4 linked regions of the Anolis sagrei genome follow. The protein of the gene in region 1 purifies or fractionates together with the protein of each later gene. This does not show direct contact. Links are inferred from orthologs where the notes say so. Each region holds a gene or a part of one and is shown on either strand. Other genes may lie near its edges. The genes, in order: RC3H1, FAU, CNOT1 and NUFIP2.

Region 1 (6,841 bases):
TGCAAAATATAAAGTTATTTTCATATGTTTTTTTTAAATTAGAAAACATATGGCCCCTTGTGTACTATGAGGTTGATATTACTGTATTACATTTTATCATAAGTAAAACAATGTAATGCCTGCAATACAGTGTGTGTGTGTGGGGGGGGGGGGGGTTGCATAATATCAAACCAAAAATAGTGAGATGGGGAAGTAGTTGACTCAAGCAATGTCATGGAAGGATGCAAGCCTCATGGGCGGCATTCTCTGTAAGAGTGCAGGTCTGCAGCATAGCCGTACTCCTGGATTCAACCCTGACCCTGGGAGCTCAGATTTCAGCAGTGGCAAGAAGTGCACATTAAGGCTTGTGCACTAGCTGCGACCATTTGTTGAGATGTCAGATCTAGTCACAGTGACACATGCCTCAGTTACATCATAGTGGGATTAGTGTAACACGCTTTGCAAGGACCCACTTTCAAAGAGTGTTCGGAGACTTCAGTTGCTTTAAAGCACTGAAGCCAGATGGCCAACTAGGGCTAGCTACAAGGTCCATACAACTTCTTTTGTTGCAACAGCTCCACTGGCTGCCATTATTATACCTTACAACCTACCTCTTTTCAGATGTGTTTTCAGATCTCTCTGTGTTATGCTTACAAGTAAAGGGTATAACTTCCTTTTTTAAAATGTGTGCCATTCAGTCGGTTGAAGATGTAGCGGAGCGCTAGTGGTCTCGTCCAAGAGGCGGGAGTGTAAAGATTTTTCCTAACAGTTCAGTCGCCATCATGTGTTGGAACAGTGAGGATTATGCTTTTGCCATTGAGGCCTACTTTTCGAGCGGATGTTCTGTGATTGCAACCCAGTGCGCCTTTCGGAATCACTTTAATTTAGCCCCATTGGCCCCTGTCCCGGACCGGACCGGAAATCAATTGTGACGTGGGTCACTACATTCAAACAAACTGCAAGTGCGTCAAGACGAAGAACTAGAGTCCCTCGGCCCATTAGATCACCTGAGAACACTGAGGCAGTGAGAGTTTCAATGTTGCGAACACCACGGCGTTCTGCGCGCAAACATGTGTCTGCCCTTGGACTTCCCAATCGTTCTGTGAGGAGAATTCTTCATGATTATCTTCATTTTGATCCTTACAAGATGGCGATTGTGCAGGAACTTTCTGAACGTGACTTCAATTCTCGGAGGATTCCGTGTGAGGTTCTTCTCGAAGTCATTCCTGAGGACGCTATTGTTTTTTTAGTGATGAAGCCCATTTTAATTTGTGTAGATCCGTCAACAAACAAAACATGTGCTACTGGGCTGACAACAATACTCAAGAATTGCATCAAAGGAGGGAGGGAGTAGCATTGGGTCGAGTTCAGCATATCATGTTCAGCATATCATGACTGAGGGAGAGAGTTGCCTTGGGTTGAGTTCAGTGTATAAATTACTGAGGGAGGGTTTTGCATTGGGTTGAGTTCAATGTATAAATAACTGAGGGAGGGAGTTGCCTTGGGTTGAGTTCAGTGTGTAATAACTGAGGGAAGTTGCACTGGGTTGACTTCAGTGTAGAATAACTAAGGGAGGGAGTTGCATTGGGTCGAGTTCATTGTGTAATAACTGAGGGAGGGAGTTGCATTGGGTTGAGTTCAGTGTATAAATATCTAAGAGAGGGAGTTGCATTGGGTTGGGTTCAATGTATAAATAACTGAGGGAGGGAGTTGCATTGGGTTGAGTTCAATGTATAAATAACCGAGGGAGGGAGTTGCATTGGGTCGAGTTCAGTGGGTAACATGACTGAAGGAGAGAGTTGCATTGAGTTGAGTTCAGTGTACAGTAACTGAGGGAGGGAGTTGCATTAGGTTGAGTTTGGTGTATCATAACTGAGGGAGAGAGTTGCATTGGGTCGAGTTCAGTGTGTAATAACTGAGGGAGTTGCATTGGGTTGAGTTCAATGTGTAATAACTGAGGGAGGGAGTTGCACTGGGTTGAGTTCAATGTATAAATAACTGAGGGAGGGAGTTGCATTGGGTCGAGTTCAGTGTGTAATAACTGAGGGAGGGAATTGCATTGGGTTGAGTTCAGTGTACAGTAACTGAGGGAGAGAGTTGCATAGACTTGAGTTTATTTATTTATTTATTTAAAAGTTTTGTATACCGACCTTCTCACCTCGCTTGAGGGACTCAGACCGGTTTCCAACCATAATATCACATACAATCAATAAAGCATCATAATACATATTACAGTAAAACATTAAAACAGCAATTACAATCAATAACTATAATGGTCAGTCGTCACACTAAAATCGTTGCTCTTCATCCTCCATCCATATCTCAGGGTGTTGACTCACTCGTCGAATGCCTGTTCAGTGTACAATAACTGAGTGGGGGAGTTGTTTGGGTTGACTTCTGTGTGCAGTAACTGAGGGAGAGTTGCATAGACTTGAGTTCAATGTAAAAGGAGCCCCCGGTGGCGCAGTGGGTTTAAGCCCTGTGCCGGCAGGACTGAAGACCGACAGGTCGCAGGTTCGAATCCGGGGAGAGGCAGATGAGCTCTCTCTATCAGCTCCAGCTCCTCATGCAGGGACATGAGAGAAGCCTCCCACAAGGATGCTAAAACATCAAAATCATCTGGGCATCCCCTGGGTAACGTCCTTGCAGACGGCCAATTCTCTCACAACAGGATGCTCCTGACATGGCAAAAAAAGGTATAAAAGGAGGGAGCTGCATTGGGTTGAGTTCAATGTATAAATGAGGGAGTTGCATTGGACTGAGTTCAATGTATAAATAACTGAGGGAGGGAGTTGCATTGGACTGAGTTCAGTGTGTAATAACTGAGGGAGGGAGTTGCACTGGGTTGAGTTCAATGTATAAATAACTGAGGGAGGGAGTTGCATTGGGTCGGGTTCAGTGGGTAACATGACTGAAGGAGAGAGTTGCATTGAGTTGAGTTCAGTGTATAATAACTGAGGGAAGGAGTTACATAGGGTTGAATTCAGTGTATAATAACTGAGGGAGGGAGTTGCATTGGGTCGAGTTCAGTCTACAGTAACTTTGGGAGGGAGTTGCATTAGGTTGAGTTCAGTGTATCATAACTGAGGGAGAGAGTTGCATTGGGTTGAGTTCAGTATATAACAGGGAGTTGCATTGGGTCAAGTTCAGCGTATCATGACTGAGGGAGGGAGTTGCATTGGGTTGAGTTCAGTGTTTAATAACAGAGGGAGGGAATTGCATTGGGTTGAGTTCAGTGTTTAATAACAGAGGGAGGGAATTGCATTGGGTTGAGTTCAGTGTATAACTGAGGGAGCGAGTTGCATAGGCTTGAGTTCAGTGTATAACTGAGGGAGGGAATTGCATTGGGTTGAGTTCAGTGTATCATGACTGAGGGAGAGAGTTGCATAGGCTTGAGTTCAGTGTATAATAACTGAGTGAGGGAGTTGCTTTGGGTTGAGTACATTTTGATACTTGGGTCGAGTTCAGTGTGTAATAACTGGGGGAGGGAGTTGCATTGGGTCGAATTCAGTGTAACATGACTGAGGGAGAGAGTTGCCTTGAGTTGAGTCCAGTGTACAGTAACTGAGGGAGGGAGTTGCATTAGGTTGAGTTCAGTGTATAAATAACAGGGAGGGAGTTGCCTTGGCTTGAGTTCAGGGTATCATGCCTGAGGGAGTGAGGAGCCTTGGGCCTAGTACAGTGCCTGGGCCCTGCTTGAGAGTGTGGGGGGCTTGAGAGGAAAGCCACTGCGGCCTGGCTGAAGAAGGCCACTCGGGGCGCCTTCCTGCGCAAACCCGGAAGCGGAGTGCCTCCTGGCCTGGCCCCGCCCCTCTCGGCAGCAGGAAGCAAGGAAGGAAGGGAGGAAGGGCGGGGGGAGGAAGAGCCGCGCATGAGCCGCGACGCCCGCGGAGGCGAGGCGGGCCTGGTGCTGCTGCTGGTGGCGGTGGTGCTGAGGGAAGGAAGCGCGGAGGCACCCAAGATGGCCCCTGCTGCAGAGGCGGCCCTGGCCGACGCATCCGCCGCCGCCGCCGAGGGCCAGAGGAGGGGAGAGGCGGCCGGGGCCGAGGAGAGCTCGCTGCTGCTGCTGCCGCTGCTCCTGGGCCAAGACGAGGTGGGCGCCACGGCCGCGCCTGTGCTCCGCAGCTGAGAGGAGCTGCCGCCGCCGTGAGGTGAGAGAGAGAGAGAGAGAGAGAGAGGGAGCCTGGGCAGAACAATAGGGCGGAGGCTCCGGCCTACTCGCGCCTCCCCCTCCGCTCCTGCCTTCGGGGGCAAGACCGGGCCCCGTCCCTCCTTTCAGGGCGCCTGCTTCAGCCAGGCCTCGCCTCTGCTCTGCCCCCTCCTTGTCTCTAGGCCGCAGGCTTTTGCCGAGCTCGATTTGCCTCCTTCCCTGGCGCTGTGTCTTCTCAACAAACTGAGGGGGGGGGGGGAAGGGGGTGGTGGCAGGTGTTAGACTTCTTCCCCCGGCTGTTTAATCCTTTCTCTTGAAAGAGGTGTGGATTTGTCTACATTGGGTAGAAAAAAAATACATTAAACCAAGGATCTCAGGCGTGTTTGGCATGATGGCAGATTGCTTTGGCATAAATCAAGCTTATAATTGACAACGTTTGGGATATTTTCTCCAAGGGCCCTTCCACACAGGCCTATAACCCAGAACATCAAGGCAGAAAATCCCACAGTATCTCTTTTCAACTGGAATATCATCCCACATTGACATATATTCCAGTTCAAAGCAGATAATCTGGGATTTTCTGCCTTGATATTCTGATTTACAAAGCAAAGCCCCCTTCCACAACTGAATAAAACGCCACATTGTCTGCTTTGAACTGGAATCTATATAAATAAAAATGTAATGTTCGCTTGTGGGATTAACATAACTCAGAAACCACTAGATGAATTGACACCAATTTTTGACATAATACGCCTAACAGTCCAATGAGTTTTCATCACCACTAAAAATACAAAAAACCCTCAGCAGAACAGACTTAAAAACAGCCAAAATACACCATATATATATATACACACACACTCAAATACATATACATATGCACACATACATACACATACGTCTATCTATACCCAAGCACACACAAATATACACACACACACATCTATATACACACACCTATATACACATGCACACATACATACACATATATAAACACAAGTATGCATAAAGACAAGCATACACATACACACAATATACATATAACCCAACAATTCTTTATTGATTGATTCTTTATAGTCAATTTTGACCATATCAAAACATGCAAAACATACACACTTGCCCATACATACAGTAAAACCATATATGAATACAAGGCATCCCGGCCTACTGGCCTGTCAACCCACTCCTAAATGATTGTGCAATTACAAGATAAAAAAATTAAAAGATTAAAAATTGATTAATTCCTTAAAATAGGGTTTGGGCAGCGGCGTGGGTAGGTAAAACTAGTGGCATGTCCATATTAAGTTTTTAAGCTGGACTTTTGTTGATGGCAGCAAGGTCTCCTCTCTCTGGTTCCATCTTCTTGTGGATGGCCAGTGCTTTTTGCGTAAATATACATATGCACTTATAAACACACAAATATATGCACACATATATACACATATGCCCACACATATATACACCCAAACATACCCCCCCCACACACACATATCTATCCATATCTATATTTCTATCTATATATATATACACACACACATATACACAGATACACAAATATATACACACATATAAACACATACAAAACACACATATATATAGACTGGGCCATAGCAATGCGTGGCAGGGGACGGCTAGTATATAATAATAATAATAATAATAATAATAATAAAACTTTATTTATACCCCGCCACCATCTCCCCGAGGCGACTCAGAGCAGCTCACATGAGGCCAAACCCGACAACACATCAATAAAATAAAAAGCAGTAAGCAAATAAAACAATACAATTAATATAAATCACATATAAACAATAACACGCAAGGATTTAAAAAACTATGGCCGGGCCAGTAGTTTAAAATTTTAAAAATAAACGCTGGGCATGAACAGAGGTAGGATGTATCTGGTAAGAGGATTTTAAAAGAAATAAAGGGAGAGCAACCCAACGAGTAGTTAAAATGCTTCTGAGGACATTTTGCTGGGAATTATTTCCTATATGGCAGTGTGGACTCAGATAACCCAGTTCAAAACAGATATTGTGGGATTTTTTGCCTTGATATTCTGAGGGTCCTTCCACACAGCCCTATATCCCAGAATATCAAGTCAGAAAATCCCACAGTACCTGCTTTGAATTGGGTTATCTGAGTCTACACTCAGATAATGTGGGATTTTTCTGCCTTGATGTTCTGGGATATAGGGCTGCGTGGAAGGGCCCTAAATTATATGTGTCCACACTGTCATATATTCCAGTACAAAGCAGAAAATGTGGGCTTTTATCCAGCAGTGTGGAAAGGGCCCTAACTGCTTGTGAGTATTGTGGCCTAAGTAAACAGAAGGGAGAAAAAGGTCTACCATGGCTCTGGTGAGCATTGCTTCTGAGCCCCCTTACACATAGCTGAAGAAAATTCCACATTTTCCGCTTTGAACTGGGTTGTATGGCAGTGTGGACTCAGATATCCCAGTTCAAGCAGATAATTGTGGGAGTTTCTGCCTTGATATTCTGGGTTATATAGCTTTGTGGAAGGGGCCTGAGTAAGGGATTAGGGGGCCCTGTGTGAGCTACTCTTTAAATTTATTTTTATTTATCATCAAAGTCCATAAGTATACATCCTTTCCCCATTTTACAATATCTTGGACAGGGGAGTATGCCATATTTTACACCAATGGTTTCCAACCTGTGATCCATGGACCACCAGTGGTTTTCAAGAATAAAAATATGG
Region 2 (7,595 bases), on another chromosome or scaffold:
ATCCCATGAGATGATGATGGGATGTGTAGTTTGGGACAAGGCCTTGAGAACAGACAGTTCCATCGAATGCAGTAGTGGCAATTACAGGGGGAAATCACATACTGAATTGCAGAGGCCGGTCATAAATTCAATAATATATTATATTATTCTATTTTTCACATACTGAATTGTAGAGGCAGGTCATAAATTCAATAATATATTATATTATTATTCTATTCTATTTTTTCACATACTGAGCTGCAGAGGCAGGTCATAAATTCAATAATATATTATATTATTATTATTATATTATTTTTCACATACTGAATTGCAGAGGCAGGTCATAAATTCAGTAATATATTATTCTATTATTTTTCACATACTGAATTGCAGAGGCAGGTCATAAATTCAATAATATATTATTATTATATTATTTTTCACATACTGAATTTCAGAGGGAGGTCATAAATTCATTAATATATTATTCTTATTATTTTTTCACATACTGAATTGCACAGGCAGGTCATAAATTCAATAATATATTATTATTCTATTCTATTTTTTCACATACTGAACTGCAGAGGCAGGTCATAAATTCATTAATATATTATTCTATTATTTTTCACATACTGAATTGCAGAGGCAGGTCATAAATTCAATAATATATTATTATTATATTCTATTATTTTTCACATACTGAATTGCAGAGGCAGGTCATAAATTCAATAATATATTATTATTCTATTATTTTTCACATACTGAATTGCAGAGGCAGGTCATAAATTCATTAATATATTATATTATTATATTATATTATTTTTCACATACTGAATTGCAGAGGCAGGTCATAAATTCAATAATATATTATATTATTATTATTATATTATTATTATATTATTTTTCACATACTGAATTGCAGAGGCAGGTCATAAATTCATTAATATATTATATTATTATATTATATTATTATTATATTATTTTTCACATACTGAATTGCAGAGGCAGGTCATAAATTCAATAATATATTATATTATTATTATTATATTATTATATTATTTTTCACATACTGAATTGCAGAGGCAGGTCATAAATTCAATAATATATTATATTATTCTATTATTTTTCACATACTGAATTGCAGAGGCAGGTCATAAATTCAATAATATATTATTATTATTATTATTATTATTATTATTATTATTATTTTCACATACTGAATTGCAGAGGCAGGTCATAAATTCAATAATATATTATATTATTATTATTATATTATTATTATATTATTTTTCACATACTGAATTGCACAGGCAGGTCATAAATTCAGTAATATATTATTATTATTATATTATCTTTTGCATACTGAATTGCAGAGGCCGATCATAAATTCATTAATATATTATATTATTATTATTATATTCTAATATAGCCCTATTATTCTATTCCATTCTCACATTATTGTATTACATCCTCATATTACTCTATTCTATTATGTTCTATTTCATTCTTGTATTATTAATTTCTAATCCATCCCCAGAGGTGAAACTGTCTTTCGGGTCAACAGCAAGCTAGACAAATGGTTGGGAGCTTACTCCGGCCCGGGCTGTTTTCGAACTCATGACCTTCCAGTCAGTAGTGATTTTAATGTAGCTGATGCCCAACCAGCTGCGCCACAACTCGGTATTGTATTTTATATACACATATATAAAATCATATAGTTTGCTGTGTGTCAAAGGCTTTCGTGGCCAGAATCCCTGGCTGTCTGGCCTTGTTCCAGCAGCATTCCCTCCTGACATTTTGACCACATCTATAGCAGGCATCCTCAGAGGTTGAGGAGTCTGTTGGAAATTACGAAAATACCTGCAGAATGTCCAGGGTGGGAGAAAGAACTCTTTGTCTACTGGAGGCAAATCTGAATGTTGCAATTGGCCAGCTTGATTAGCATTGAATGGCCTTGTAGCTTCAAAGCCTGGCCTATTGATAGTGACTTAATTCTGCTTTTTTTTAATCAAACGGAGCACATCTATTGGGGCGCCTAAACATCTCCGGAGGGGGATCAGGGGGCCACTTTACCCCTCTGAAGGGCCACTTTACCCAGATGTCCCCTTCGATCTTCCGGATGACGGTCATCTTCCTGCACCCGTGGGTGACGTCCGTGTAAACGGGGATGTTGTGCATGCGTGACCGGCGGACAAAGAAAGGCAGGTCAGGAGGCGGATCTGGAGGGAGGAAGGGAGAAACTGTCTCACCAGTCATATTGCCATATAATACACTATACTAATATATACTAATATATATAACATAATAATACATATAATACAATATAATACTACTACTAATAATACAATATTACATGTAATATTACTAATAATACTGTAGTACAATATGGGAATGTATGCTACTAATATTGTGCTATGCTAATAATATAATATTTTGTATTTACATATAACTTGTAAGGCGCTCAGAGTCTCCCCTTTATTTGCCGTAAATAAATAAACATAACAGCCTTATTTTCGCAAAACAAAACCTTAAAAATATACAAAATACTTCTTATCTCCGCATTTCCTTGCATGCTCCAACAAAAACAAAACACTTTTCTTTACAAAAACGACAAAATCAAAATATTGAAATAGGATGAAATATTGCAATTCATAAGAAGTAAAATTCTTGAAGCAAAACTGGAGAAACGAATATATAAGAACCTTGTGGGGGTCTCCACCCGGAGGGTGTGGGGTATTTCTCGTGCTTTGGTGGCTCCGGGACTCGGGTGGGAGGGATGAGCCTCTCCACAAAGCGATACTCCTCACGGGACTCCTCGATGCCGGGGTATCTGGGCTCCAAAGAGGCGGGCTCCGTTGACACCTGGCTCTGCAAGAAGGGAAGGAGAGCACAGGCAGGGGCTGAGTTTCTAACTTGGGGGGGGGGGGGAGGCTGATTGCTCAGTGATGGAAGGAAGGAAGGGAAGGAGGAAGGAAGAAAGGAAAGATTGAAGGAGAAAGAGAGGTAAAGAAGGAGGAAAGAGTGAAGGGAGAAAGAAGGAAAGGGGGGAAAGGAGGAAGGAAGGAAAGAGAAAAGGGAGGTTTTGAAAGATGGAAGGAGAAAGAGAGAGGGAAAGGATAAGGAAAGGGAGAAAGGAAAAGATGGAAAGATGGGGAGAGGGAAGGAAGGGAAGGAGGGAGGTAAGGAAGCAAGGAAAGAGAAGGAAGGAATTAAGGGAAGGAGGAAGGAAGTATGAAAGGGAAGGGGGAAAGGGAGGACACAGAAGGAAGGATGAAAGGGAGGGAGGAAATAGGGAAGGAGGGAGGAAAGGGGAATGAATGAATGGAGGAAATGAAAGAAGAAGGATGGAAGGAGGAAGGAAGGAGGAAAGGAAATGGGGAAAGGGAGGACAGAAGGAAGGAAGAATGAAAGGGAAGAAGGAGGGGGGCAAGTGGGAAGGAAGGAATGAAGGAAAGAGGAAAGAAGGATGAACGGGAAGGATAAAGGAAGGAAAGGGGGAGGGAGGGAGGAAGCAAGGAAAGAGAAGGAAGAAAGGAAAGGGGGGAAGGGAAAGGGGGAATAAGAGGGAAGGGGGAGGAAAAAGGAAGGAAGGAAAGAGAAGTAGTAAAGGGGGAAAGGGAAGGAGGGAGGAAAGAAGGAATGAATGAATGAAGGGAAGGGAGGATGGATGAAAGGGAGGAAGGGAAAGATGGAAGGAGAGAGGTAAGGAAGGAAGAGAAAAGGAGAGGGAAGGGGTGGTAGGAAAAAAGGATGAGAGGAAGAGAAAGGAAAAGAGGAAAGGGAAGCAAGAAAGAAGGGAAGGAGGAAGGATGAACGAGGAAGGGAAGGATGGATGGGGAAAGGGAAGGAAGAAAAAGAAGAGAGGGAAGGAGGCGGAAAGAAGGAAGGATGAAAGGGAGGAAGGGAAAGAGGGTAGGAGGGAGGGAAGAAGGCAAGGAAAGAGGAAGCAGAAGGAAGGGAAAAGCAGGAAGGAGATGGATGAAAGAAGGAAAGAGAAGGAAGAAAGGGATGAATGAAGGGAAGAAGGAAGAAAGAGGGAAAGGGAGAGTGAAAGGAAGGAGGGAGAGAAGGAAGGAAGGAAGGAAGGAAAGAGAGGAGGAAGGGAAAGATGGAAGGGGAGAGAGGGAAGGAGAAAGAAGGAAGGGAGGAAGAGAAAGATGGATGGAAGGAAGGGAAAGATAAAGGAAAGAGAGAAGGAAGGAAAGACAAAAGGGAAGAAAGGAGGAGGGAAAGAGGGAAGGAAGGGAAAGATAAAAGGGGAAAGAGGGAAGACTCCCTTTACCCGCCTGATGCTGAGGAGGAGGAGAAGCCTGGGCCCAGTTTCCCTCCTCGCCAAAGACAGCGCCAGCGCCGCCATCTTGGCGCTTCCCCGTCGCGCCGCTTGATGACGTCTGCCTCTGCGCAGGCAGCCAGGCGATGACGTTTGGCACCGCCCCCGAAGCAGAGAGGAGAGAGCCGGGCGTCACCAGCCAAGTCTCGCGACGCTTGGCATGAACTCTCCTTAGGGACGGCTGGCCGGGCAGATCTCGCGAGACTTGGTAAGCCAACGCCGCCGAAGAGGAGAGGAGAGAGGAGAGTTGGCGTCACTGCGCCTGCGCGTACCTCCCCGTCAGAGGCCCGCCCCCTCTACTTCCGGCTTCTCAATTCCGACTTCCTTTTCTCTCTGGCCTCCATCTTGGCGCCTCGCGTGGAAGGAAGGTGAGCCCCCCCTCAGGAAAGAGAAAGAGGCCTCCTAGTTATATTCTTCTTATACTTATGTCAATCAAGTATACACAAATGTATTTATGTTATTTACTATTTGGAGACATATGTGTATCTCAATATTTATATATGCACATTTTAATATTTTATTTAATTATATAGACACATATTTATATTATATATATATATATATATGAAAATTATGGATACACAAATATATTATTTACTATTTGGAAAGTGTGTATCTAAATATTTAATTATATAGACACATATTTATATTGTATTTAATTGTATTTAATTATATAGACACATATTTATATTTTATTTCATTATATATGCACATAATATATATGAAAATTATGGATACACAATATATTTATATTATTTACTATTTGGAAACGTGTGTATTTAAATATTTAATTATATATGCACACATATATTTAATTTAATTATATGTACACATATTTATATTATATATATAATATAATATAAGGCCTTCTCCCCTTCGGTCTCTCTGTCTCATATTTACATTCTTCTTATACTTATGTGAATTAAATATATACAAATATATTTATATTATTTGCTATTTAGATATACGTGCCTGTATCCAAATATTTAATTATATGTACACATGTTTATATTATATATATTTGAATATATGAAAATTAAGGATACACAATATATTTATATTATTTACTATTTGGAGATGTGTGTATCTCAATATTTAATTATATATACACATTAATTTTATTTAATTATATGTACACATATTTATATTATATATATATTTATTTATGAAAATTATGGATACACAATATATTTATATTATTTACTATTTGGAAATGTGTGTGTATCTAAATATTTAATTATATATACACATATTTATACTATATATATATTTATGAAAATTATGAATACACAAATATATTTATATTATCTATTTGGAAACGTGTGTGTATCTCAATAATTATATAGACACATATTTATATTTTATGTAATTATATAGACACATAATATATATATGAAAATTATGGATACGTAAATATATTTATATTATTTACTATTTGGAGATGTGTATGTGTATCTAAATATTTAATTATATATACCCATATATTTTATTTAATTATATTTAATTATATGTACACATATTTATATTATATACTTATTTATTTAGAAAAATTATGGATATGCAATATATTTATATTATTTACTGTTTGGAGACGTGTGTGTATCTAAATATTTCATTATATATACACATTTTTATTTTATGTATACACATATTTATATTATATTATATATATATATATATATATATATATATATATATATATATATATGAAAATTATGGATAATAATAATAATAAACTTTATACCCCACCACCATCTCCCCAAGGGCCTTGGAGCAGCTTACATGAGGCCCAGCCCAACAACACAGCAATAAAACAGGAAAGCAATAAACAAAAACGATACAATTAGTATAAATCACATATAAACAATAACACACAAAGATTTAAAAACCTATGGCCAGGCGAAATGTGTTAGTTTAAATTTAAAAAATAAATGCTGGACATGAACAAGGTAGGATATATAGAATCATAGAGTTGGAAGAGACCTCCTGGGCCAGTCCAACCCCATTCTGCCAAGAAGCAGGAATATTGCACTCAAATCACCCCTGACAGATGGCCACCCAGCCTCTGTTTAAAAGCCTTCAAAGAAGGAGCCTCCACCACACTCCGCGGTAGAGAGTTCCACTGCTGAACGGCTCTCACAGTCAGGAAGTTCTTCCTCATGTTCGCGTGGAATCTCCTCTCTTGTAGTTTGAAGCCATTGTTCCACATCCTAGTCTCCAGGGAAGCAGAAAACAAGCTTGCTCCCTCCTCCTCCCTGTGGCTTCCTCTCACATATTTATCCCTGTCCCTCATCATATCTCCTCTCCGCCTTCTCTTCTTCAGGCTAAACATGCCCAGCTCCTTAAGCCGCTCCTCATAGGGCTTGTTCTCCAGACCCTTGATCATTTTAGTCGCCCTCCTCTGGACACATTCCAGCTTGTCAATATCTCTCTTGAATTTTGGTGCCCAGAATTGGACACAATATTCCAGATGTGGTTTAACCAAAACAGAATAGAGGGGTAGCATGACTTCCCTAGATCTAGACACTAGGCTCCTCTTGATGCAGGCCAAAATCCCATTGGCTTTTTTTGCCGCCACATCACACTCCTGGCTCATGTTCCCCTTCCTCCCCACAAGGACTCCAAGATCTTTTCCACACGTCCTGCTCTCGAGCCAGGCATTGTCCCCCATTCTGTATCTTTGCATTTCATTTTTTCTGCCAAAGTGGAGTATCTTGCATTTGTCACTGTTGAACTTCAGTGACAAATGCAAGGAGGGTTTTAAAGAAGTGAGGGGAGCGCAATCCAACGAATAGTTAAAGTGCATTCTGAGGACATTTTGCTGGGAATAATAATAATAATACTTTATTTATACCCCGCTACCATCTCCCCAAGGGACTCGGTGCAACTTACATGAGGCTAAGCCCACAATACATCAATACAAGCAATAACAGACACAATACAAAGCAATTAAAATAAATCTCATACACAAATAGCATTTATTTCCTTATTCTGGGAAGGCACACTGGAACAGCCACGTTTTCAGGCTCCTCCCAAAGACTGCCAATGTTGTGGCATGCCTGATATCCCTGGGAAGTGAATTCCAGAGATGGGGGGCCACCACCGAGAAGGCCCTCTCCCTCGTCCCCACCAATTGTGTGTGCGAAGGGGGCGGGAGCGAGAGCAGGGCCTTTCTGGACAATCGAAGAGGTCGTGTGGGTTTGTACACAGAAATGCGGTCACGCAGGTAGGCGGGTCCCAAACCGTTCAGGGCTTTGTAGGTAAGAATCTGCACCTCTGGGGTCAAGCC
Region 3 (7,388 bases), on another chromosome or scaffold:
TATGTTCATATATAAGGTGGATTTATGAAGCTTATAAGCCTGATTTATGAATATATAATATATGTTTGTATATAAGGCGGATTTATGATGCTTATAAGCCTGATTTACGAATATATACGAATATATATTATATATTCATATATAAGGCGGATTTATGAAGCCTATAAGCCTGATTTATGAAGCCTGTTTTCTAAAGATTTCCAGGAAATTGAATGTTGTGTGTGTATTATATATATATATATATATATATATATATATATACACACACACACGCCACGCCATTGGATATATATATATATATATATATATATATATATGATACACACACACACTTATTTATTTATTTATTTACAAGTTTTGTATACCGACCTTCTCACCTCTCTTGACCGGTTTCCAACCATAATATCACATACAGTCAATAAAACATCAAAATACATATTACAGTAAAACATTAAAAAAGCAATTACATTCAATAACTACAATGGTCAGTCGTCACACTAAAATCGTTGTTCATCATCCTCCATCCATATCTCAGTGTGCTGTCGCACGCTGGGCCTGTGCATTAGACTGTACACAGGACATAAATTCTGTGTGCCCAACGGGACGCCGGGGCTGCCTCAGATTAGAGGCCCTTAGATTCCCCCAAACAGAGTCTTTAGAAGGCTTAAAGTAAGTCCAACAAAGTTCTTTTATTAAGGAACAAACAGGTACTTTAACGGTTTTCTTAACAGTCTATAGGCTCTTTCAATCTTGTTCACTGGGAACAGGCACTATCTTCATAACTGTATACTAACTAATGGGGAAATGCTTAACTTCTAATCTGGGCAGTCTGTACTTGCCTCTGTTGACGTGGAGCCCCTGCACCCGGTACCAACTGCGTCTGGCTTCCGCGAGCGACCCTTGCCTCAACAGAGCTTTGTAGACCTCCAGGGAAAAAGAAGGAGTTCAGGTTGCTGTGATGGCCGGCTGGAGTCCCTCAGCCAAGCTGTGGCTGTATGTCTCCTGGGCAAGCCGTAGGGCTGTATAACCCCGGCCAAGCTGTAAAAGACGAAGCTTTTCTACAGGAGCCACTTCGTTCTATGTCCTGTGCGAAAGGCTTCTCTGTGAGAACTAACTCAAAATGGCTCCTGTTCCCTCCAAAACTCAAAAAGGGGCGGGACCAGGGAACCTAACTATTATTGACAGGTGGCTTGCCCTATGATTGCAGCCAAAAGGAGGCTGTCCAGACCTTGAATCGGTACTTGGCTGCTGTGTCGGACTGGATGAGAGCTAACAAATTGAAATTGAATCCAGACAAGACAGAGGTCCTACTGGTCAATCGTAAGGCCGAACAGGGTATAGGGTTACAGCCTGTGTTAGACGGGGTTACACTCCCCCTGAAGATGCAGGTTCGCAGCTTGGGAGGGATCCTGGACTCATCGCTGAGCCTGGAGCCCCAGGTCTCAGCAGTGGCCGGGAAAACTTTTGCACAATTAAAACTTGTGCACCAGTTGCGCCCGTACCTTGGGAAGTCGGATCTGGCCACAGTGGTCCATGCTCTTGTCACATCCTGACTAGATTACTGCAACGCACTCTATGTGGGGTTGCCTTTGAAGACTGCTCGGAAACTCCAACTAGTCCAACGGGAGGCAGCCAGATTGCTCACCGGAGCGGCGTACAGGGAGCATCCCACCCCCCTGTTGCGTCAGCTCCACTGGCTGCCGATCCAATTCCGAGCACAATTCAAGGTGCTGGTTTTGACCTACAAAACCCTATACGGTTCCGGCCCAGTGTATCTGTCCGAACGGATCTCCCTCTACATCCCACCTCAGAGTTTAAGATCTTCTGGGGAGGCCCTGCTCTCGACCCCACCACTGTCACAAGTGAGATTGGCGGGGACGAGGAGCAGGGCCTTCTCAGTGGTGGCCCCCCACCTGTGGAACTCACTCCCCGGGGAGATCAGATCAGCGACTTCCCTTCTCTCATTCAGGAAAAAGCTGAAAACCTGGATGTGGGACCAGGCTTTTGGAAACTCTGGCAGCTAAAAAGAAAGACCATAATGATGGGCAAATAATGACGAAACCTATTGGACTTATGGAACTCGAAACACTGACCATGAGATTGTTTATTGTTGTGCTATTGTGTTATATATTGATGTTTTTAATCTGTTAATTGCTTAATTATGGTAATCGTTTTATATATGTATGTATTTGGATAAGGGCATCGAATTGTGCCTTCTTTTTGTAAGCCGCCCTGAGTCCCCCCTCGGGGGTGAGAAGGGCGGGGTCTAAGTAGCAGAAATAAATAAATAAATAAATAAAAGAAGCCACCTATCTGCAGGGTCCCTGAAACTTAGGACTGCAATAAACATTAAATGCAAAAGCAAACAGAAATGGAGCTCCTGGCACAGCTGTACCAGCACACTCAGGGTATTGGCTCACTCGTCGAATGCCTGTCTTTCTGAAAGTCAGGATAGACGGGGTGGTTCTGATCTCCGGTGGGAGAGAATTCCAGAGTCGAGGGGCCACCACCGAGAAGCTTGCCATCTATCGGACAGGTGGCAAGCTATTCAACCTCAGCAGACTGAAAGCCAAAACCAAGGTTACAACAACAGCTGTTATAGAACTCCAGTATGCTGATGACAATGTCGTCTGTGCGCATTCAGAAGAAGATCTACAAGCCACTCTAAACACCTTCGCAGAAGCATACGAGAAGCTCGGCCTGTCACTGAACATTGAGAAAACCAAGGTGCTGTTCTAGCAGTCACCAGCCAACCCCTCTCCAATGCCAGAGATACAGCTTAATGGTGTAACATTAGAAAATGTGGACCATTTCCGCTCCCTTGGCAGCCACCTCTCCACCAAAGTCAACATCGACGCTGAAATACAACACCGCCTGAGCTCTGCGAGTGCAGCATTTTCCCGAATGAAGCAGAGAGTGTTTGAGGACCGGGACATCCGTAGGGATACTAAGGTGCTTGTCTATAAAGCTATTGTCCTCCCAACCCTGCTCTATGCCTGTGAGACGTGGACTGTCTACAGACGTCACATGCAGCTCCTGGAACGTTTCCATCAGCGCTGCCTCCGGAAAATCCTGCAAATCTCCTGGGAAGACAAGCGGACAAACGTCAGCGTGCTGGAAGAAGCAAAGACCACCAGCATTGAAGCGATGGTCCTCCGCCATCAACTCCGCTGGACCGGCCACGTTGTCTGGATGCCCGACCACCGTCTCCCAAAGCAGTTGCTCTACTCCGAACTCAAGAACTGAAAACGGGATGTTGGTGGACAGGAAAAGAGATTGAAAGATGGGCTCAAAGCCAACCTTAAAAACTCTGGCATAGACACTGAGAATTGGGAAGCCCTGGCCCTTGAGCGCTCCAGCTGGAGGTCAGCTGTGACCAGCAGTGCTGCAGAATTTGAGGAGGCACAACTGGAGGGTGAGAGAGAGAAACGTGCCAGGAGGAAAGCGCGTCAAGCCAACCTCGACCGGGACCGCCTTCCACCTGGAACCCAATGCCCTCCTCACTGCGGAAGAAGATGCAGAGCAAGAATAGGGCTCCACAGCCACATACGGACCCACAAGGAAACCCATGATGGAAGACCATCTTACTCGTCCAACGAGGGATCGCCTAAGTAAGTAAGTAAGTAAGTACCGAGAAGGCCCTGTCCCTCGTCCCCACCAGACGCGCTTGCGAGGCAGGTGGGACCAAGAGCAGGGCCTCTCCAGATGATCTTAATAATCTTGATGGTTCATAGGGGAGAATAGGTTTGGAGAGGTAAATAGGGCTGGGTATATATGGTATATATATATATATATATGGATAAATCAGGTGCATATTTATCCAACTAGCTCAAGAGGCCTTCCTTGGTGGCAGAAAAGTTATATTAATACATTACAATATTGCTATTATTACCCTTGACCCAAAATCAACAAGGAATGGCTCAGATCTAGAGTGATTCCCAAGCCTTTGGCCTCTAATTGTTTTGGACTACGATTCCCAGAATTCCTGCCCATTGATCTAACGCAGCTGAGGCTTCTGGGAGTTGGAGTCCGAAAGAGCCAAAGTTGTGCCCCATTCATTGAGGCGAAAGGACGGACTGGTGTTTTCCTCTGCTCCCGCCTCGAGACAACCGCGCTGTCATCCCATTGGCCGGATTCACAAACTCCCTCAGAGCCCTGCCTTCCGATTGGGCAGCGAGGACGTGAAGCAACCAATCCGAACCGGGAGGCGGGTTCTTTCCACCTTTTCCCCGCCTCCTCAGCGCTGAGGGCAAAAAAATAAAAGTGCTTTCCCTCAATGTCGGTCCGTGATTGGATGCCATCCGGAAGGCGGGGCTTAAGGAGCGCGAGGCCATTGGATCCCGCCGGTGGAGGCTCCTCCCCGTTGCCTCTTCCCGCCGCGGGGCAGGACGGGAAGAGAAAGGGCCGCGACGTGAGCGCGCGACTCCGGCCGCCATTTTGTTTCGGAGCGAGCGGAGAAGGAAGGAAGGAAGGAAGGGAGAGCGGCTCAGGAGACCGAGGAAGCGAGGGAAGGCAAAGAAGGCAGGCCCCGGCACGCTCGAGGTAAGCCCGGCCTCAGGGAGCGCCTCCCCCGCCTTCTGGAGGTACCACAGCCCGGTCTGGGAGTCAATCGAGGCCCCGGCGGGAGTGCAGGCCCAGGCCTCGCTCGCGGAAGCGCCTCCCGGGCGGGTTATTCGCCCTCCAGGGGGGTTGGACTACAACTCCCACCATTCCTAACAGCCGGTAGGCTGTTAGGAATGGTGGGAGTTGGAGTCCAAACCCCCCTGGAGGGCCCAAGTTGGAAGGGAAGGGAACAGGTCCCGAATTACGAACCAGGACGGCCCAGTAAGTGTTGGGATCTCGTATACAGGGGCATTTCTTCAGAACAGCTACAAATATCCATATCTATCTATCTCCATCTGTATGTGTGCCTGTATATTTATGTATATATACATATATCTATGTATATTCATATGTGTGTCAGGACAGCTCCAGCAACAAATACCCATATCTATCTCCATATGTATGTGTGTCTGTATATTTATGTATGTATATATATCCATATGCCTGGGTGTATCCATATGTCTGTATATATCCATGTATATATGTGTGTGTGTCTGTATATTTATGAATATATACATATATGTATATATATTCATATGTGCCTGTGTGTATCCACATGTCTGTATATATCTGTGTATATATGTGTGTGTGTGTCTGTATATTTATATATACATATATATATATATATATATATATTCATATGTGTGTGTGTATCCATATGCCTGTGTTTATCCATATGTCTATATATCCATGTATATATGTGTGTGTCTGTATATTTATGTATATACGTATATATATTCATATGTGTGTATGTATATCCATATGCCTGTGTGTATCCATATGTCTGTATATATCCGTGTATATATGTGTGTGTGTCTATATGTGTATATATATATGTGTGTATGTATATATATATACACACACACACATGCACACATGTATGTGTGTCTGTATATTTATGTATATATACATATATGTATATTCATGTGTGTGTGTTTATCCATATGCCTGGGTGTATCCATATGTCTGTATATATCCATGTATATATATGCGTGTGTGTATGTATGTATGTGTGTATGTATGTTTATGTATATATACATATATGTATATTCATGTGTGTGTGTGTTTATCCATATGCCTGTGTGTATCCATATGTCTGTATATATCCATGTACGTGTGTGTGTGTGTATGTATATATACACACATATGTATGTGTGTCTGTATATTTATGTATATATACATATATGTATATTCATGTGTGTGTGTGTATATCCATATGCCTGTGTGTATCCATATGTCTGCATATATCCATGTATATGTGTGTGTGTACACACACACACACACACACACACACACATAAACATGGATATACACATATACAGAGTCCACCTGGGGAGATAGGGTGGGTTACAAATAAAGTTGATGTCCAATATATACACAATCCTATAATCATAATAATAAAACTTTATTTATACCCCCATACCTATCTGTCTATCTATCTCCATATGTATGTGTGTCTGTATATATGTGTGTATATTTACGTATATATACATATATTCATATGTGTGTGTGTATATCCATATGCCTGTGTGTATCCATGTTTGTATATATCCATTTACGTGTGGGTGTATGTATGTATATATTATACACACACCAGTTGTACCCGCCACGCGTTGCTGTGGCCAACCTTCCCTCTTTCTCTCCTTCTTTCCCTCCTTCCTTCTCTCCCTCTTTCTTTCCTTCTCTTCTTCCTTCTCTACCTTTTTCATTCCTTTCCCCCTTTTCTTTCTCTTCTGCTGTCACTCTTTTCTTCCTTCTCTCCTTCTCTCCTTCTCTCCTTCTTTCTCTACATCTTCCCCCTTCCTTCCTTCCTTCCCTCTTTCCCTTTTTTCTTTCCTTCTCTCCTTCCTTCCTTCTCTAACTTCCCTTCCTTCCCCCTTTTTCTTTCCCTCCCTCTTTCTCTTCTTCCTTCCTTCACTCCCACTTTCCTTCCTTCCTGCCTGCTTCTCCTTCTCTTCTTCCTTCCTTCTCTATCTCTCTTTCCTTCCCCATTTTTCTTTATCTTCTGTCTCTCTTTTCTTCCTTCTCTCTTTCCTTCTTTCCTTCCCTCCTTCTTTATTATTAATATGTTGTATTACATTATAATATTATCAATATTATATGTATATCCAATATATTGTATTGTATATTATACGCACAGTGCAGGAGGCAAGATGGAACTGCCTTCATGGCCCCTCTCTTCATTCTGATCTCAGAGCAGCAGTTGGTCCAATATATATCCATCCATATATTTTTAACATTCATATATACATATATATATCCATATGTGTATATATACCAATATATATATCCCTATATGCCCATACACATATATCCTTCCATATATATTTATCTCAATGTTTGTGTGTGTGTATCTCTCTCTCTCTCTCTGGATAGCATAGGGAAGTGTGGACACCCCTGTGGTGTTTCCTTTGTTGTCTCTGCCCCTGTTTGGAAGATTTCACCGCATTTTCTGTCTATGTGAGAATTGGATTTTGGAAACTCTGGCTTGTTTTGGAGACAGGATTGGGGATAAAGCTTCAGGAGGAGGAAGCAAGCTTGTTTTCTCCTTCCCTGGAGACTAGGACATGGAACAATGGCTTCAAACTACAAGAAAAGAGATTCCATCTGAACATTAGGAAGAACTTCCTGACTGTGAGAGCCGTTCAGCAGTGGAACTCTCTGCCCCGGAGTGCGGTGGAGGCTCCTTCTTTGGAAGCATTTAAACAGAGGCTGGATGGCCATCTGTCAGGGGTACTTTAAATACAGGGGGTTTATTTATTATTTACTTTATTTCTATACCACTT
Region 4 (6,974 bases), on another chromosome or scaffold:
GAGAGGAAGAGAAGGAAGGAAAGAGATGGGAAGAGAAGGAAGGAAATAGAGGAGAGCAGGAAGGAAAGTGACAAAGGAGAAGAAGAGAGAAAGAAAAAAGAGAGGGAGAGGAAGGAAGGAAAGAGAGAAAGGAAAGGAGAGGAAGAGAGAAGAAAGGAAAGAAAGAGAAGAAGGAGATGAAGAGAGAAGGAAGGGAGGAAGGAAAGAAAGAAAGAAAGAAAGGGAGGAGAGAGTGAAAGAAGGAACGAAAAATACAAGAGAGAGAGGAAAGGAAGAGAAAAAGGAGAGCAAGAGAAAGGAAAGACGGAGAGGAAAAGAGAAGGAAGGAAAGAGAAAGGGAAGGAAGAAAGATGGAAAGAAAGAGAAAGGAAAGAAGGAGAGGAAGAGAGAAAAGAAAGAGGAAGGCAAGAAAAAGGGAGAAAGGAAATAAAGGAAAGAAGAAGAGGAAGAGAGAAGGAAGGAAAGAGAAAGAGAAGAAGGAGCAGAAGAGAGAAGGAAGGAAAGAGAGAAAGGAAAGGAGAGGAAGAGGAGAAGAAAAGGAAGAGAGAAGGAAGGAAAGAGAAAGGAAAGGAAGAGAAGAAAAGGAAGAGAGAAGGAAAGAAAGAGAGAAAGGAAAGAAGGAGGGGAGAAGAGACTGGAAATATGGGAAGAGAAAAAAGAAAAAAGAAGGGGAGAAAAAGGGAGGATGGAAAGAAAGAGAAAGAAAAAGAAAGAGGGAGGAGAGAGTGAAAGAGGAAGGAAAGAAAAATACGAGAGAGAGGAAAGGAAGAGAAAAGGGAGAAGGAAAGGAAGGAAAGAAGGAGAGAAAAAGAAGGAAAGAAAGAGAAAGGAAAGGAGGAGAGAAAACGAAGGAGAAGAAGGAGAGGAAGAGAGAAGGAAAGAAAGAGAAAGGAAAGAAGGAAAGGAAGAGGGACAGGAAATATGGGAAGAGAGAAAAGAAAGGAAGGGGAGAAAAAGAGAGGAAAGAAAGAAAGAAAGAGGGAGGAGAGAGTGAAAGAGGAAGGAAAGAAAGAAAAACAAGAGAGAGAGGAGAGGGAGAGAAAAAGGAGAGTAGGAGAAAGGAAAGAAGGAGAGGAAAAGAGGAAGAAGAAAAGGAGAGAAAGAGAGAAGGAAGGGGAGAGAAAGGGAGGAAGGAGAGAAAGAGGGAGGAGAGAGTGAAAGAGGAAGGAAAGAAAGAAAAACAAGAGAGAGGGGAAAGGAGATAAAAAGGAAAGAAGGAGCCACCCCACAAAAGTCCCCGAAGGGTCCAGAAGAAGCAGAGCTTTTTCCACATCTGCCTTTCTCAGAAGAGGAGGAGGATGAAAGAGAAAGGGAAGAAAGATGGAAGGAAAGAGAAAGGAAAGAAGGAGAGGAAGAGAGAAAGGAGAGGAAAAGAGAAGGAAGGAAAGAGAAAAAGGAAAGGATAAGAAGAGAAGAAGGAAAGAGAAAGGAAAGAAGGAGAGGAGGGAAAGGAAAGGAAGAGAGAAGAAAGGAAAGAGAAAAAGAGGAAGAGAGAAGGAAAGAGAGAAAGGAAAGAAGGAGGGGATGAGGAGAAGGAAAGAGAAAGAGAAGGAGAGGAAGAGGAGAAGGAAAGAGAGAAAGGAGAGGAAGAGATAAGGAAGGAAAGAGAAACAGAAGAAGGAAAGAGAGAAAGGAAAGAAGGAGGGGAAGAGGAGAAGGAAAGAAAGAGGAGGAAGAGAGATGAAAGGAAAGAGAAAGGAGAGGAGAAGGAAAGAGAAAGGGGAGGAAGAGAGATGGAAGGAAAGAGAAAGGAAAGAAGGAGAGGAAGGAAATGAGAGGAACAGAGAAGGAAAGAAAGAGAAGAAGGCGAGACTGGAAATATGGGAAGAGAGAAAAGAAAGACGAAGGGGAGAAAAAGGGAGGAAGGAAAGAAAGAGGAAGAGGGAGGAGAGGGAGAAAGGAAGGAAAGAAAGAAAATCAAGAGAGAGAGGAAAGAAGGAGAGGAAAAGAGGAAAGAGAGAAAAAGGAAAGAAGGAGCCACCCCACGAAAGTCCCAGAAGGCTCCAGAAGAAGCAGAGCTTTTTCCACGTCTGCCTTTCTCAGAAGAGGAGGAGGAGGAGGAAAGAGAAAGGGAAGAAAGATGGAAGGAAAGAGAAAGGAAAGAAGGAGAGGAAGAGGGAAGAAAGGAAAGAGAAAGGAAGGGAGAGGAAGAGGAGAAGGAAAGAGAAAGGGGAGGAAGAGAGTTGGAAGGAAAGAGAAAGAGAAGAAGGATAGGAAGAGAGAAGGAAGAAAGGAGAAAAGGAAATGATAAGAAGAGAGGAAGGAAAGAGAAAGAAAAGAAGGAAAGGAGGAGAGAAAAGAAAGGAAGAGAGAAGAAAGGAAAGAGAGAAAGGGAGAGGAAAAGAAAGAAAGAGAAAGGGAAGAGGGAAGGAAGGAAAGAGAAAGGAAAGAAGGAGAGGAAGAGAGAAGGAAGGAAAGAGAGACAGGAAATATGGGAAGAGAGAAAAGAAAGAGAAAGAAAGAAGGAGGGAGGAGAGAGTGAAAGAGGAAGGAAAGAAAGAAAAACAAGAGAGAGAGAGAGGAGAGGGAGAGAAAAAGGAGAGCGAGAGAAAGGAAAGAAGGAGAGGAAAAGAGAAGGAAGGAAAGAGAGAAAGGAGAGGAAGAGAGAATGAAGGAAGGAGAAGGAAAGGAAGAGAGGAAGAAGAAAAGGAGAGGAAGAGAGAAGGAAGGGGAAAGGGAGGAAGAAAAGAAAGAGAAAGAAAGAGGGAGGAGAGAGTGAAAGAGGAAGGAAAGAAAGAAAAACAAGAGAGAGAGAGGAAAGGAAGAGAAGAAGGAAAGAAGGAGAGGAAAAGAGAAAGAGAAAAATGAGAGGAAGAGAGGAAGAAGAAAAGGAGAGGAAGGGAGAAGGAAGGGGAGAGAAAGGGAGGAAGGAGAGAAAGAGAAAGAGGAAAGAAAGAAAAACAAGAGAGAGAGGAAAGAAGGAGAGGAAAAGAAAAAGAGGGAAAGAGAAAAAAAAGGAAAGAAGGAGCCACCCCACGAAAGTCCCCGAAGGCTCCAGAAGAAGCAGAGCTTTTTCCACGTCTGCCTTTCTCAGAAGAGGAGGAGGAGGAGGAAAGAGAAAGGGAAGAAAGATGGAAGGAAAGAGAAAGGAAAGAAGGAGAGGAAAGGAGAAAGGAGAGGAAGAGAGAAAGAAGGAAAGAGAAAAAGGAAAGGATAAGAAGAGAGGAAGGAAAGAGAAAGGAAAGAAGGAGAGGAGGGAAAGGAAAGGAAGAGAGAAGAAAGGAAAGAGAAAAAGGAGAGGAAGAGAAGAAGGAAAGGAAGAGAGAAGGAAAGAGAGAAAGGAAAAAAAGGAGGGGATGAGGAGAAGGAAAGAGAAAGAGAAGGAGAGGAAGAGGAGAAGGAAAGAGAGAAAGGAGAGGAAGAGATAAGGAAGGAAAGAGAAAGAGAAGAAGGAAAGAGAGAAAGGAAAGAAGGAGGGGAAGAGGAGAAGGAAAGAAAGAGGAGGAAGAGAGATGAAAGGAAAGAGAAAGGAGAGGAGAAGGAAAGAGAAAGGGGAGGAAGAGAGATGAAAGGAAAGAGAAAGGAAAGAAGGAGAGGAAGGAAATGAGAGGAACGGAGAAGGAAAGAAAGAGAAGAAGGCGAGACTGGAAATATGGGAAGAGAGAAAAGAAAGAGGAAGGGGAGAAAAAGGGAGGAAGGAAAGAAAGAGAAAGGGGGAGGAGAGAGTGAAAGAGGAAGGAAAGAAAGAAAAAGAGAGAGAGGAAAGAAGGAGAGGAAAAGAGAAAGAAGGAAAGAAGGAGCCACCCCGCGAAAGTCCCCGAAGGCTCCAGAAGAAGCAGAGCTTTTTCCACGTCTGCCTTTCTCAGAAGAGGAGGAGGAGGAGGAGGAGGAAGGGGCGGGCACGCGCACTCCCTCCCTCCCTCCTTCTTCCCTCCTTCCTCTCTTCCTTCCTTGCCTTGCCTTGGGAAAGCGGAAAGAAGGAGGTGGGACCTAAAGAGAGACCGGAGAGGCTTCTGATTGGTCTGAAGGGGGAGGGAGAGAGGTGCCAATCAGGCGGGGGCGCGCTTGTCTTGGGCCCTGCGCGCGCTCCCGAGCCAACGAGGAACTGCTCCTTCTTCTCCTCCTATTTCTTCTCCTTCTTCTTCTGCTGCTACTGTTACTCCTCTGTGTATCTGTGTTGATACATTTTTGCTATTTTGTGGCAGAGAGAGAGAGAGAGAGCGAGCCAAGAGGGGGGCTTTTCAATGGAGGAGCAGCACCCTCTCCCTCCTTCCTCTGCATCGCACCACCATTCCCATCATCCCCACCACCACCACCATCACCACCACCACCACTACTACTACTACAACCACAACCACCACCAGCATCACCAGCATTACGAAGGAGGAGGAGGAGGAGGAATTGGAGGAGGAAGCAGCAGCAACCATGGGGCCAATGGGAATGAGAGGAAGGCCCCTTTGGCCCCACAGAGGAACCCCAAACACGACCCCAGGAACGGGGGGACAGTGGGGAGCTTTGGGGGGAACCCCCAAGCCGCCCAGGAGCCGACCCGAAGGAGAACAGGTGGGTTTTCCGCGGGGGAGTAAACCGTGCGTAAAAAGGCACCTCTCCAAAAAGGGACCCCTCTCCGAAGGAGAGGGGTCCCTTTTTGGAGAGGTGCCTTTTTACGCACGGTTTTTGGGGTACTTAACAACACCCCATCGAAACGATTTTTAGGGTGTTTATACATAAAACGATGGGGAACACGATCCCGTTGGAATGGGGTCGCTAGGGTGTACACGCGAGGCGTGGGAACGTCACGAAGAGGGTCCCCCTATCCCCCTCTCCATTTTTTCCCCTCTTTTGCGCCTTGGCTAGGCGCGGCCAAGGCGCACAGGAAAAGGTGGTTGTGGGGGGAAAAATACCGTCTTTTGGGGGGTCTGGAAAGGGAAATTCGCCCCCTATGGGTACAAGGGACTCTTGGGGGGATGTCTAAAGGATGGGGTGCCCGCTTTGGGGTCGGGAAAGGGGTGCAAAGCCAGGCCCAAAAGGCGCCTCTCCACGCGCCTTCCCAAGTCTCGCCCCACCCAAAGGGAAGCACAAGGGAAGAGGAATGGTATTTTTGGGGGAGGGTGGATTTGAAATATTTTTTGGGGGGTCTTTAGGTTTTCTATGGATGGAGGGAAGGTTTTGGGGTACCCTAAGTAGGGGGGAAAGGGGGGAAATAGAGCCAAAGGCGAAGGAAGAGAGCCAGGGAAAGGGGAGACCCTTCCACAACACCCCATATTTTTGGATAACTTATTGCCTTTCCAGAGGAAGATCAAGTCTGATTTTTTGGGGGGATACTTCAACAGCACCCCCATATTTTGGGGGGACACTTACTGTTTCAAGGCCAAGGAAGAGAGACATGGAAAGGGAAGATCCTTCCACAACACCCCATATTTTTGATAACTTATTTCCTTTCCTGAGGTTCAAGTCTGGGTTTTTTGGGGGGGATATTTCAACAGCACCCCCATATTTTGGGGGGACACTGTTGCAGTTTCAAGGCCAAGGAAGAGAGCCAGGGAAAGGGGAGACCCTTCAACAACACCCCCCATATTTTTTATAACTTAATTGCCTTTCCTGAGCTTCAAGTCTGGGTTTTTTGGGGGGTGATCCTTCAACAGCACCCCCATATTTTAAGAGGATCCTGTTACTGTTTAAGGGTCAAGGAAGAGAGACAGGGAAAGGGAAGATCCTTCCACAACACCCCATATTTTTGGTCAACTTATTTCCTTTCCAGAGGAAGATTAAGTCTGGTTTTTTGGGGGATCCTTCAACAGCACCCCCATATTTTGGGAGGACCCTGCTACTGTTTAAAGGCCAAGGAAGAGAGCCAGGGAAAGGGGAGATCCTTCCACAACTCCCCTATATTTTTGGATAACGTTTATTCCCAGCTACATCTGAGCTTGAAGGTTGGTTTTGGGAGGGGGGTCCTCCAACAGCACCCCCATATTTTGGAGGGACTGTTGCAGTTTCAAGGCCAAGGAAGAGAGCCAGGGAAAGGAGAGACGAATCAACAACACCCCATATTTTTGCATAACTTAATTGCCTTTCCAGAGAAAGATCAAGTCTTTTTATGGGGGATACTTCAACAGCACCCCCATATTTTGAGGGGACACTGTTACTGTTTCAAGGCCAAGGAAGAGAGCCAAGGAAAGGGGAAACTCTTCTATAACACCGCATATTTTTGACAACTTATTTCCTTTCCAGAGGAAGATTAAGTCTGTTTTTTTGGGGGAGAGGTCCTTCAACAGCACCCCCATATTTTGGGGGGACATTGTTGCAGTTTCAAGGCCAAGGAAGAGAGGGAAAGGGGAGACCCTTCCACAACACCCCATATTTTTGGATAACTTAATTGCCTTTCCAGAGGTTCAAGTCTGGGTTTTGTGGGGTGATCCTTCAAAAGCACCCCCATATTTTGGGAGGATTCTGTTGCTGTTTCAAGGCGAAGGAACAGAGCCAGGGAAAGGGGAGACTCTTCAACAACACCCCATATTTTTGGATAACTTAATTACCTTTCCAGAGCTTTAAGTCTGTGTTTTTTTTGGGGGGGGGATCCTTCAACAGCACCCCCATATTTTGAGAGGACATTGTTGCTGTTTTGCATTTCTTTAAGGGATGGATTCTAACACTTTTAGGGTGTCCCCTACTTTTTGGGAACCTTCCCAATGGAAAGAGAAGTTTTCTTGGGTACCCCCCCAAAAGGACTTTCAATGGGTCCCCGTTTCTCTTGGGACCCCGCTTTTTTCTTAACTTTCCAAAGAGACTCTCAAGGGTCCCCCTTTTTGTCTGTGTATCTTCCAAATGGGAAAAGGGGACTTTTAGAGGTCCCCCTTCTTGGGAATCTCTCCAAAGAGATAGGATTTCTTCCTTTCAAGGGGTCCCCCCACTTTTCTGTGTACCTTCCAGATGAGGGGAAAAGGGACTTTGGGCGGAGTGATTATAGGGTTCTTTCCCCTATATGTGGGATGGTTTGGGGCTCCCCCCCCCCCCACTTGAGTATCTTTGAGGCT

What was found.
Region 2: the proteins of RC3H1 (region 1) and FAU purify together in Homo sapiens (affinity purification with mass spectrometry; 3 studies listed by BioGRID, with this or other methods). This does not show direct contact. The link is inferred for Anolis sagrei from reciprocal best matches to the Homo sapiens genes RC3H1 and FAU.
Region 3: the proteins of RC3H1 (region 1) and CNOT1 purify together in Homo sapiens (affinity purification with mass spectrometry; 5 studies listed by BioGRID, with this or other methods). This does not show direct contact. The link is inferred for Anolis sagrei from reciprocal best matches to the Homo sapiens genes RC3H1 and CNOT1.
Region 4: the proteins of RC3H1 (region 1) and NUFIP2 purify together in Homo sapiens (affinity purification with mass spectrometry; 3 studies listed by BioGRID, with this or other methods). This does not show direct contact. The link is inferred for Anolis sagrei from reciprocal best matches to the Homo sapiens genes RC3H1 and NUFIP2.

What each region holds. Positions count from the first base shown.
Region 1 is NC_090024.1:129,897,806-129,904,646, forward strand, and holds the start of RC3H1 (roquin-1), read left to right. Parts: upstream 1-3,824; 5' UTR 3,825-4,130; intron 4,131-6,841. UniProt on the Homo sapiens protein: Post-transcriptional repressor of mRNAs containing a conserved stem loop motif, called constitutive decay element (CDE), which is often located in the 3'-UTR, as in HMGXB3, ICOS, IER3, NFKBID, NFKBIZ, PPP1R10, TNF, TNFRSF4 and in many more mRNAs.
Region 2 is NC_090032.1:22,373,336-22,380,930, forward strand, and holds the start of FAU (ubiquitin-like FUBI-ribosomal protein eS30 fusion protein), read left to right. Parts: upstream 1-4,591; 5' UTR 4,592-4,674; exon of another isoform or gene 4,675-4,675; intron 4,676-7,595. Other genes in the region: MRPL49 (large ribosomal subunit protein mL49), read right to left, coding at 2,071-2,195, 2,679-2,844, 4,259-4,333.
Region 3 is NC_090028.1:1,661,141-1,668,528, reverse strand, and holds the start of CNOT1 (CCR4-NOT transcription complex subunit 1), read left to right. Parts: upstream 1-4,381; 5' UTR 4,382-4,542; intron 4,543-7,388.
Region 4 is NC_090031.1:34,092,578-34,099,551, forward strand, and holds the start of NUFIP2 (FMR1-interacting protein NUFIP2), read left to right. Parts: upstream 1-3,973; 5' UTR 3,974-4,184; coding exon 4,185-4,503; intron 4,504-6,974. UniProt on the Homo sapiens protein: Binds RNA.